Cricetulus griseus: one gene and its partner. The protein of the gene in region 2 interacts with the protein of the main gene of each other region in a pairwise test. Links are inferred from orthologs where the notes say so. Each region holds a gene or a part of one and is shown on either strand. Other genes may lie near its edges.

Region 1 (3,749 bases), on a different chromosome or scaffold from region 2:
CTCCAGACTTAAGGGTCTAACATCTGAGTCCAGTAAACGATGTGCGAAGGAATCAGATGTAGTTCCTTGGGGCATATGACCTCCACAAACTTTACCAGGGGACTGTCAAGCAAGCATGTGTGCATCTTGACTGACTTGGAGAAGGCTTTAGCTTGCATCTCAGGGTCTTTCACAGGACTGGAGTAGAAATTCTAAACCTGGTCAACCAAAAAGTCAATGCAAATGAAGTTTCGAAGTATAGGCCTCAGGGCACAGCTGCACGCCCTATACCCTTTCTATATGAAACTAAAAAGCCATCGCTGGCTAGGAAGACACAGCCTGTAGGGCTTATTATAGAAACACAAACCAGGTCCCTTCATTCCTTGGCCCGGTATCTAGAATCAGTGGATCTTTTATTCACCTTTCTGTATTTACAGTAACTGTTTAAGAAGGTTCTTGATGGATTCAGAGGGCTGGGAGGATCACACTCAGCATCAACAACTAAACAACAACAACAACAACAACAACAACAACAACAAACCAAGCCCTCAGGCATGCAGGTCCCTTTCTGAGCCCACGCCTTTACCACCAGTGCAAAAAAGCCCAGGGGAGGTATCTGGGTGGTGGTGGTGCAGCCTTTAATCCCAGCACTCAGCAGGCAGAGGCAGGCGGATCTCTGTGAGTTCGAGACCAGCCTGGTCTACAAGAGCTAGTTCCAGGACAGCCTCCAAAGCCACAGCGAAACCCTCAACCCCAAAACAAACAAAAAAAAACCGCAAAGGTAACCGCAATGCTGGAATCCCGCTGCCACCTCGGGACAGAGGGTGACTCCACGCATGCCCGGCAAACTGCAGACCCACTGTGCACCAAGGACCCCACCGCCGTGCCCACCGGGGGTCGCGACCACGCCAGGGTGAGAGCCGCACTGGTCCCCGCCCACCCTTCCGCCGCGCGCGGGCCCGCCTCCCTCCTGACTTCCGTCCCGCGCGGCGGCGGTGGCGGCGGTCGGACGGTGCGAGTGTGGTCTGCACTCCCGGCGAGCGGACGGCTGGGGAGTCCCCTCGCGGAGGACCCGGCTCGTCCTGAGCTCCGCCTGCACGTGCGTGGCCACTCGTGGGCGGGCTCGCCACGGAGGAGGGAGGGAGCTCCCCGAGTCTGCTGGCGTCCACGTGGTGGGCATGCTGGAGACTTGAGAAGCTGGAGCAGAGTTGGAGGGGAGTTGCCAGGACTGTGCGTCCTTTCCGGGCTGTGGTGGAGCGGTTTCTCCCTGGACTGGTGACATCTCAGCCTCAGTTTCCTCGTTTTGAAGCTGCTCGTGGGTGGGTGCAGAGCCCCAGGGAGTTTTCTCAAGACCGGCAGCCGGCGGTGCCTTCCCATCCCCCTCCAAACCTTAAAGCAGGCGGGAAGCAAGTCCAGTCAGGAAGTCTCCCTGTTAAGCAGGGTTGCAAGGGCGACCGAGCCGTTGGCTATTATTTGTGCTTCCTCGTATCTGCCTTCCACTGCTAGATATTGTCCTGAAGTCTGAACGGGGAGTTTGGGAAATTCCCACCTTAAGATTTCTCAGTAAATAGGGTGACCCTGTATTGCTGTCCTTCCCCTAGTTTGTGAGTGGATTCTCCTAGCTGAAGTTCTGTGTCTCCTCCCACCTCTTCCCCCATTGTAGAGACCATCTAGACCTGGCCCTAAAGCCCTCGTTACAGAACCTGGCTTTAGCATTGGCATTTTATTTTTATTTTTTCCCATTTGAAAGGGACAGATCACCTGTTTAGTTCCCGAACTGGCCTCATTTCAAATGTTATTTTTTTATTTATTTACACTGGGCCTGGAGGGCAAATTTCCTGAGTTCTGGGTCTATAAGACCCAGAACTAATGACTGCTTTAGCTAGAAGTGAGGCTCTTAAAGTGGGTAGGACCCATGTTTTGTGATTTCTGTTTAGTAAGTACAGCTGACATTGCCCAGGGGTTAGGGCTGATGCCTTTCTTTGGAAAGCAGACCGACAATTTGTTCTTCCCCATGTTTAGTGGCAAATGACTTCTAGACCCAACATGAGTGACAGTTCCTGCAAAAAACGGGATGACTATCTGGAATGGCCTGAGTATTTCATGGCGGTGGCCTTCTTATCAGCCCAAAGAAGCAAGGATCCAAGTTCCCAGGTAAAGCGGTTTTGTAGGCGGATGTTCAGATACTTGCATAGATAGACACAAAGAACAGGTTAAAAACTGCAGCTGTAATCTGCTGACCTTTGTGGGGTGTTCCCTCATGCTTCTGTGCCACCTCCCCAGTGGTTACCAAACCTTTGGGCAATGTTTCTCTCTAGGTTGGAGCCTGCATTGTGAATACGGAAAACAAGATCGTTGGGATCGGGTACAATGGAATGCCAAATGGGTGCAGCGATGACCTGTTGCCTTGGAGGAGAACAGCAGAAAATAAGCTGGATACTAAATATCCCTATGGTAAGGTATCCTCAGATTGCATCTTGTCGTAGTTGAGTGCTTCATTGAAAAACTTAGGAAAGACCCTTTTAGTCATCAACGGGTAGAAAGGGAAAAAATTTTGTCATGAACTACCCTGTCTTCCTGTTTCCTCCTCTTTTAAACAGTGTTGTAATTACTTCTTTGATAATTTTATCTCCTTTTAAGATTTATATTTTTATCTTTATGTACATGCATTGTGCCTGCATGAGTTTATATGCACTACTTAGGTGTACTGAGTCTTTATCCCGCCAGCTGGCTCCCAAAACATGACACAGAGACTTCTTATTAATTATGAAAGCTCAGCCGGTAGCTTAGGCTTGTTTCTAACTAGTTCTTATTACTTAAATTAATCCATATCATTTAACCTTTGTTCTTTTCCATGGCTCGGTTACCTTTGCTTTGTAAAGCCCATGCTGCGTCTTCTGCCTCTTTTTTGAAACTCTTTCCTTCCCAGCATCCTCTCTGCCCTGAAAATTCTGCCTCGCTAATGGCCATTCATTTTTTATTAAACCAATCACAGCGACATACACAGTGCAATCAAATATCTTGCAATACATATTACAAGTGACTGCAGAGGCCAGAAGGGGGTGTCAGGTCCCTTATAACTGGAGCTACAGATGTTTGTGGGCTGCCTGATGTGGGTGCTGAGAATCAAACCTGGGTCTACCTCTGGAGCAGTGAGTGCGGTTAAGAGCTGAGGCTTCTCTCCAGCGCCTCCTGTTCCCATCCTCTTAAGTTTCAAAGAGAGCCACTGATGGAAGCATAGGCATTGTTATACAGGCTGGTCCTGAGTGCTGGCCCTTGCTGTCTTTGTGAGTCTGGTGTACTTCCCAGGGGCCCGAGAGCCTGTAGACACCAGAGCATGCAATGAAGGCCACAGCCCTTTGCAGAGACAGCAGGGACACACGTGAGGTGGCTCTGTAGGTTGTTCCTTTTCTTTGGGAAAGTGGAGGCAGCTTGCTAAGTGAAGCTTATGCTAACCAAGCAATGATTCCTCTTGCCTCATGGTCAAGTTCATCTCTGGGAAGCTGGTTTGAGACCAAGCTGGGCATCGCGAGGTGGATGGTGAGACTCCTCTTCCTATTGCTTGGGTCTGTCATCTCACCGTGGGCCATGTTCAGAACCAAAGGCAGCAGTAATAGAAATGAAGGCCTTGCCTTGGCTCTTTGGCTATTTACCTTGAAATTAGGAGAGGATGCTATGTTAGTTGCTGTTGTTGTGACCAGACTGACAGATATGACTTACGGGAAGAAAGGGTTTTTTTGTTGTTTTTGGCTTTTGGAGACAGGGTTTTT
Region 2 (3,749 bases):
AGTGTGCTTCTTTCATGGGCAGAAACTTCAGAGTCAGTTTTAAGTGTCATTGAATACATGTGGGTGCTCTCTGCTTTCACTAGAGATGCAGCAGCCTCACCAGGTTCTCCCCACCTACAAGTGTACAGGCCTGGCCATCTAAGGATCTCAGACAAGTGTTAGCTCCAGGACTGTTCTCAGAGACCCCAGATGTGAGAAGAATGAAGGAATAACAGACAGACTAAAAGTTAACATTTTTATACATTTAATAGGATAGTATCAGGATATTACTAGGATAGGCATAAACCAAGAAGAAAAAAAAATTAAGATAAAGTGTCATTGTCATTTTTGTTTAGAGGACGGAATCAGAAAATAGAACAAATTAAAATGGCTAGGGAAACATTCTAAGATGACCCCAAAGTGACTAAATTACATAATATTAGGATTCAAATGCCAAATTAATATTGCCCACATAATCTACAAGTGAAAAGGCGACCCCCAAATTTGTTCTGTTTCTATAACAATGTTTGCATGAAATATATAGCGATTTATTTTTCAGAAAGCGATACGGCAACTTTTAGGCGTTTCCTTTATGCAGTGACTAGAAAATCTCCATACAACTAGGCAGCTCTGCTTAGCAGTGAGCTGCTTGGGGCTGGCAGGTACCAGCTTAATAGAGAGCTAACACTCAGGTCTCAGAAGGCAGCAATAATTCTATTTTGGCTTTTATTCTAAATGCTTGCTGTAGTTAAGGCGACAGTTGAAGCATATTAAGTGAAGGTAGTTAAAATTTAGTGACAATCATGACAGTCTTTTGCAAAGTACACACAATATATAATGCTTTTGTGGAATGAAACCAGAGTTGATTAACTGGAATTTTACACACTCATACAGAGAAAACTTAAAAGTAACTACCAAAGGCAATCATCCTCAATGTACTATGCTGATGTTCTAAAAATCCAGGTGTGCCACAGAAGTGAAGCACACGACTAGCACTGTGCTTCATCTAGGACAAAGGTGACCACTTATCACACAGCTAAGCCTACACCAGTCATCCTAACCACAATGGCTTATAAAAACATCAGGTTTCCAGTAAAGAAACGATTCTAGGAAAGTCAGTAAGTTTCACATCTGTAAAACCAGGATAAGGCTACAACTATCTTAAAATCTGCAGAAGACATCAGATAGAGTGAGGTTCCCAGCCATGATGGAAGATAGACAGGTCCCCATGCAGCATATTCTCCCTGGCTCCCGGAAAGCTTCATATGCAAAATATAGAAGTTGCCGAAGAAGAAAACTGGAAACATTCAGCTGTAATGCGTTGTTCAAAGTTTCTAAACCTCGGGAATGGTGTGATCCATCAGGCTTTTCATAATGCTTGGTGCCATCCTACAAGAGAGCCAACTCATCATATAACTCATATCTTATTTTCAAAGATGCCATTTTAACCCAAGACAACCCCAATTCCAGTGTAGCACTATTGTCTAAAGGTCTTTAAATGAGCTCAGAGCTACAGAACTGATAACTGAGTTGTCTAAGACTGTCCAGGAAAACTAAACATCTGCACCAGGGTCGACATGCTAAAGAAGGTGCAAGTCATTTACCTTAAGACTGGCAGTTTAATTAGAATAAAACAGCAAGGCTATGGAGTTAGAAGAAAAGGTGGAGAAGGAACCTACCAATGGTTAAAAAAAGAAAAAAAGACTATAAAACAGTCAAATGCTCACAACATTTTCCCTTCCGAGGGTACTTAGCTGCATTCTACCCAGAAGCCAAAATTACAAAGATTCCATTACAAAGGTTAGGTTTATGTATCTTTGAAATCTCACTTTCTATCAGGATTCTGAATGAAGGGTTTCCAAGAAACAGTACCAACTACAAAGACAGTCAGAATCACCCCTTGCTGGCCCTTGTCAGCTTGCATGGACTTTATACTTCTTGGTTCTGGGGGACAGAAAGCAAGCACCATGCACCCCTCTACCTCCTGAGACATACTGCAAATAGCAACAGCAACTCAATATCTCACAGGCAAGAAACCCCCATCATAACCACTGATTTCTAATAAGCAGAACTGCAGGCTTCAAGAAGTATTTACATTTATGTCAGGAGACAGCAAGCATAAGTAGAGCTGTCCACTTACCGTTTAATAATATGTTCAAAGATAAAAGCAGGCATGATTGTAATGGTAACTACAGTCCCAGCTGTTGACAGTATGTCTGCAATCTGAGAATCCTAGTGAAACATAACAGAATTTAATTTCACTGAAGCTTTATTTAATAAACATAAAACTGTAATTGTTAGGTAAGAGTCACACTATATTTGCTGTTGTCATGCTAGTATCTCTGGAGTCCCAATCCCTGGTATGTCTGAATTTTAGTTTTAATCTTACAGACATGTGTGTTTCAACCTGGTAGCAAAGTTGAAGGCACTGAACACAATCCTTCCCTTACCTGAAGATGGAGAGCTTGCCCCAAACACAGTCAACTGTATTCCAGAATTTATGAGTTAAAGTCTTACTTAAAACCTTGAGATCTTAAGGTAGTCTCAATTCAAAGATTTATATGCCGAGCAGGGTTTCACGTGCCTTAGACCCAGCACTGCAGAAGCAGGTACATGTGAGTTAGAGAACAGCATGGCCTACATAGTGAGTTCCTGGGCAGCCAGGGCTATGCCCATAAAAACTTTATAGATCAAAATCTATAAAAATCAAAGTATTAATATATACCAAGACTTATTCCTTTCCTGTATTTCTGAACTGAAAAATATTGGGACATTCATCCATTCACAATGTCTAAAAATGTCCCTGCCCATTTCTCCACAGAATTCTAGCTAGAGAGAGATCATAGAATCATAGTTTAGTGACCTTGGTATGGAAAAGATAATTCCAGGTAACATCCCAGAGTTACTGTGATGGCCTAAGACCATAGCTCCTACATTTATCTCCCAAGTTTCAGTGTTTGAGGGTCATCAGGAAAGTCACACCACCTCAATGTTATCTAAAATAAAATGGCTCCAAAACTAGGGTCCAGTGTGCTTCTTACCTTCAAGCCAATGACGTTCTGCCCGTTTATCTCACAGATGTGATGATCAGTGAGAAGGCCATTTCTGGCAGCAGAACTATCTTTCACTATGGATGTGATTTTTCCACTTTTAAAGATAAAACCAACATGTCCACTGCTGTCCTTATGCATAGTAATTGTCCGCTCAAAGGGCCTGTAAGAGTAAGTGCTGGGTTAGACTGAAACTTTAATTTCATACTTCAATAGACATGACATACCACAAATTGCCACATGGGTATTTTGTTACAGTAAGTGCTGTTTCTAATCATTTATTATGGCTCTTACACTATACATGGGACAGTAGCCTTGCTTAGTCTCAAAATTTGAATGACTTGCTAATCAAGATACCCTTCTGTTAAGTTGAGAAAACAGAACACACTACTTTGTGGAATTATCAATACATTTCTTATATTTTTGGTTGTGAGCCTAGCCTTTAATGGCTGAGCCATTTCTCCAGCCCATCAATACATTTCTTTACAGTCCACTATGCTTTGGAGTTACTACATTTTTCTTTACAATCCACCATACTTTTCAGTTATCATTACATTTTTCTTTACAGTCCACCATGCTTTGCATTAATGACAAGATGGCTTTGAACTAATTCATTGAATCTTTCAATACTTCTGGGAGCCGACTGACCTTAGGACATTTGACATTGAAAATGTTAGTTTTCACATCTCAATTTTGAAAATGTTATGGATGACACAGGGT

The links.
Region 1: the proteins of Sdcbp (region 2) and Dctd interact in binary tests that used the Homo sapiens proteins (3 or more experiments, as listed by UniProt). The two-hybrid records come from large-scale screens. The link is inferred for Cricetulus griseus from reciprocal best matches to the Homo sapiens genes SDCBP and DCTD.

The regions. Positions count from the first base shown.
Region 1 is NW_023276807.1:38,622,491-38,626,239, reverse strand, and holds the start of Dctd (deoxycytidylate deaminase), read left to right. Parts: upstream 1-975; 5' UTR 976-1,298; intron 1,299-2,001; 5' UTR 2,002-2,007; coding exon 2,008-2,133; intron 2,134-2,297; coding exon 2,298-2,433; intron 2,434-3,749. UniProt on the Homo sapiens protein: Catalyzes the deamination of dCMP to dUMP, providing the nucleoside monophosphate substrate for the thymidylate synthase/TYMS.
Region 2 is NC_048595.1:154,128,680-154,132,428, forward strand, and holds the end of Sdcbp (syntenin-1), read right to left. Parts: intron 3,193-3,749; coding exon 3,021-3,192; intron 2,212-3,020; coding exon 2,120-2,211; intron 1,369-2,119; coding exon 1,314-1,368; 3' UTR 228-1,313; downstream 1-227. UniProt on the Homo sapiens protein: Multifunctional adapter protein involved in diverse array of functions including trafficking of transmembrane proteins, neuro and immunomodulation, exosome biogenesis, and tumorigenesis.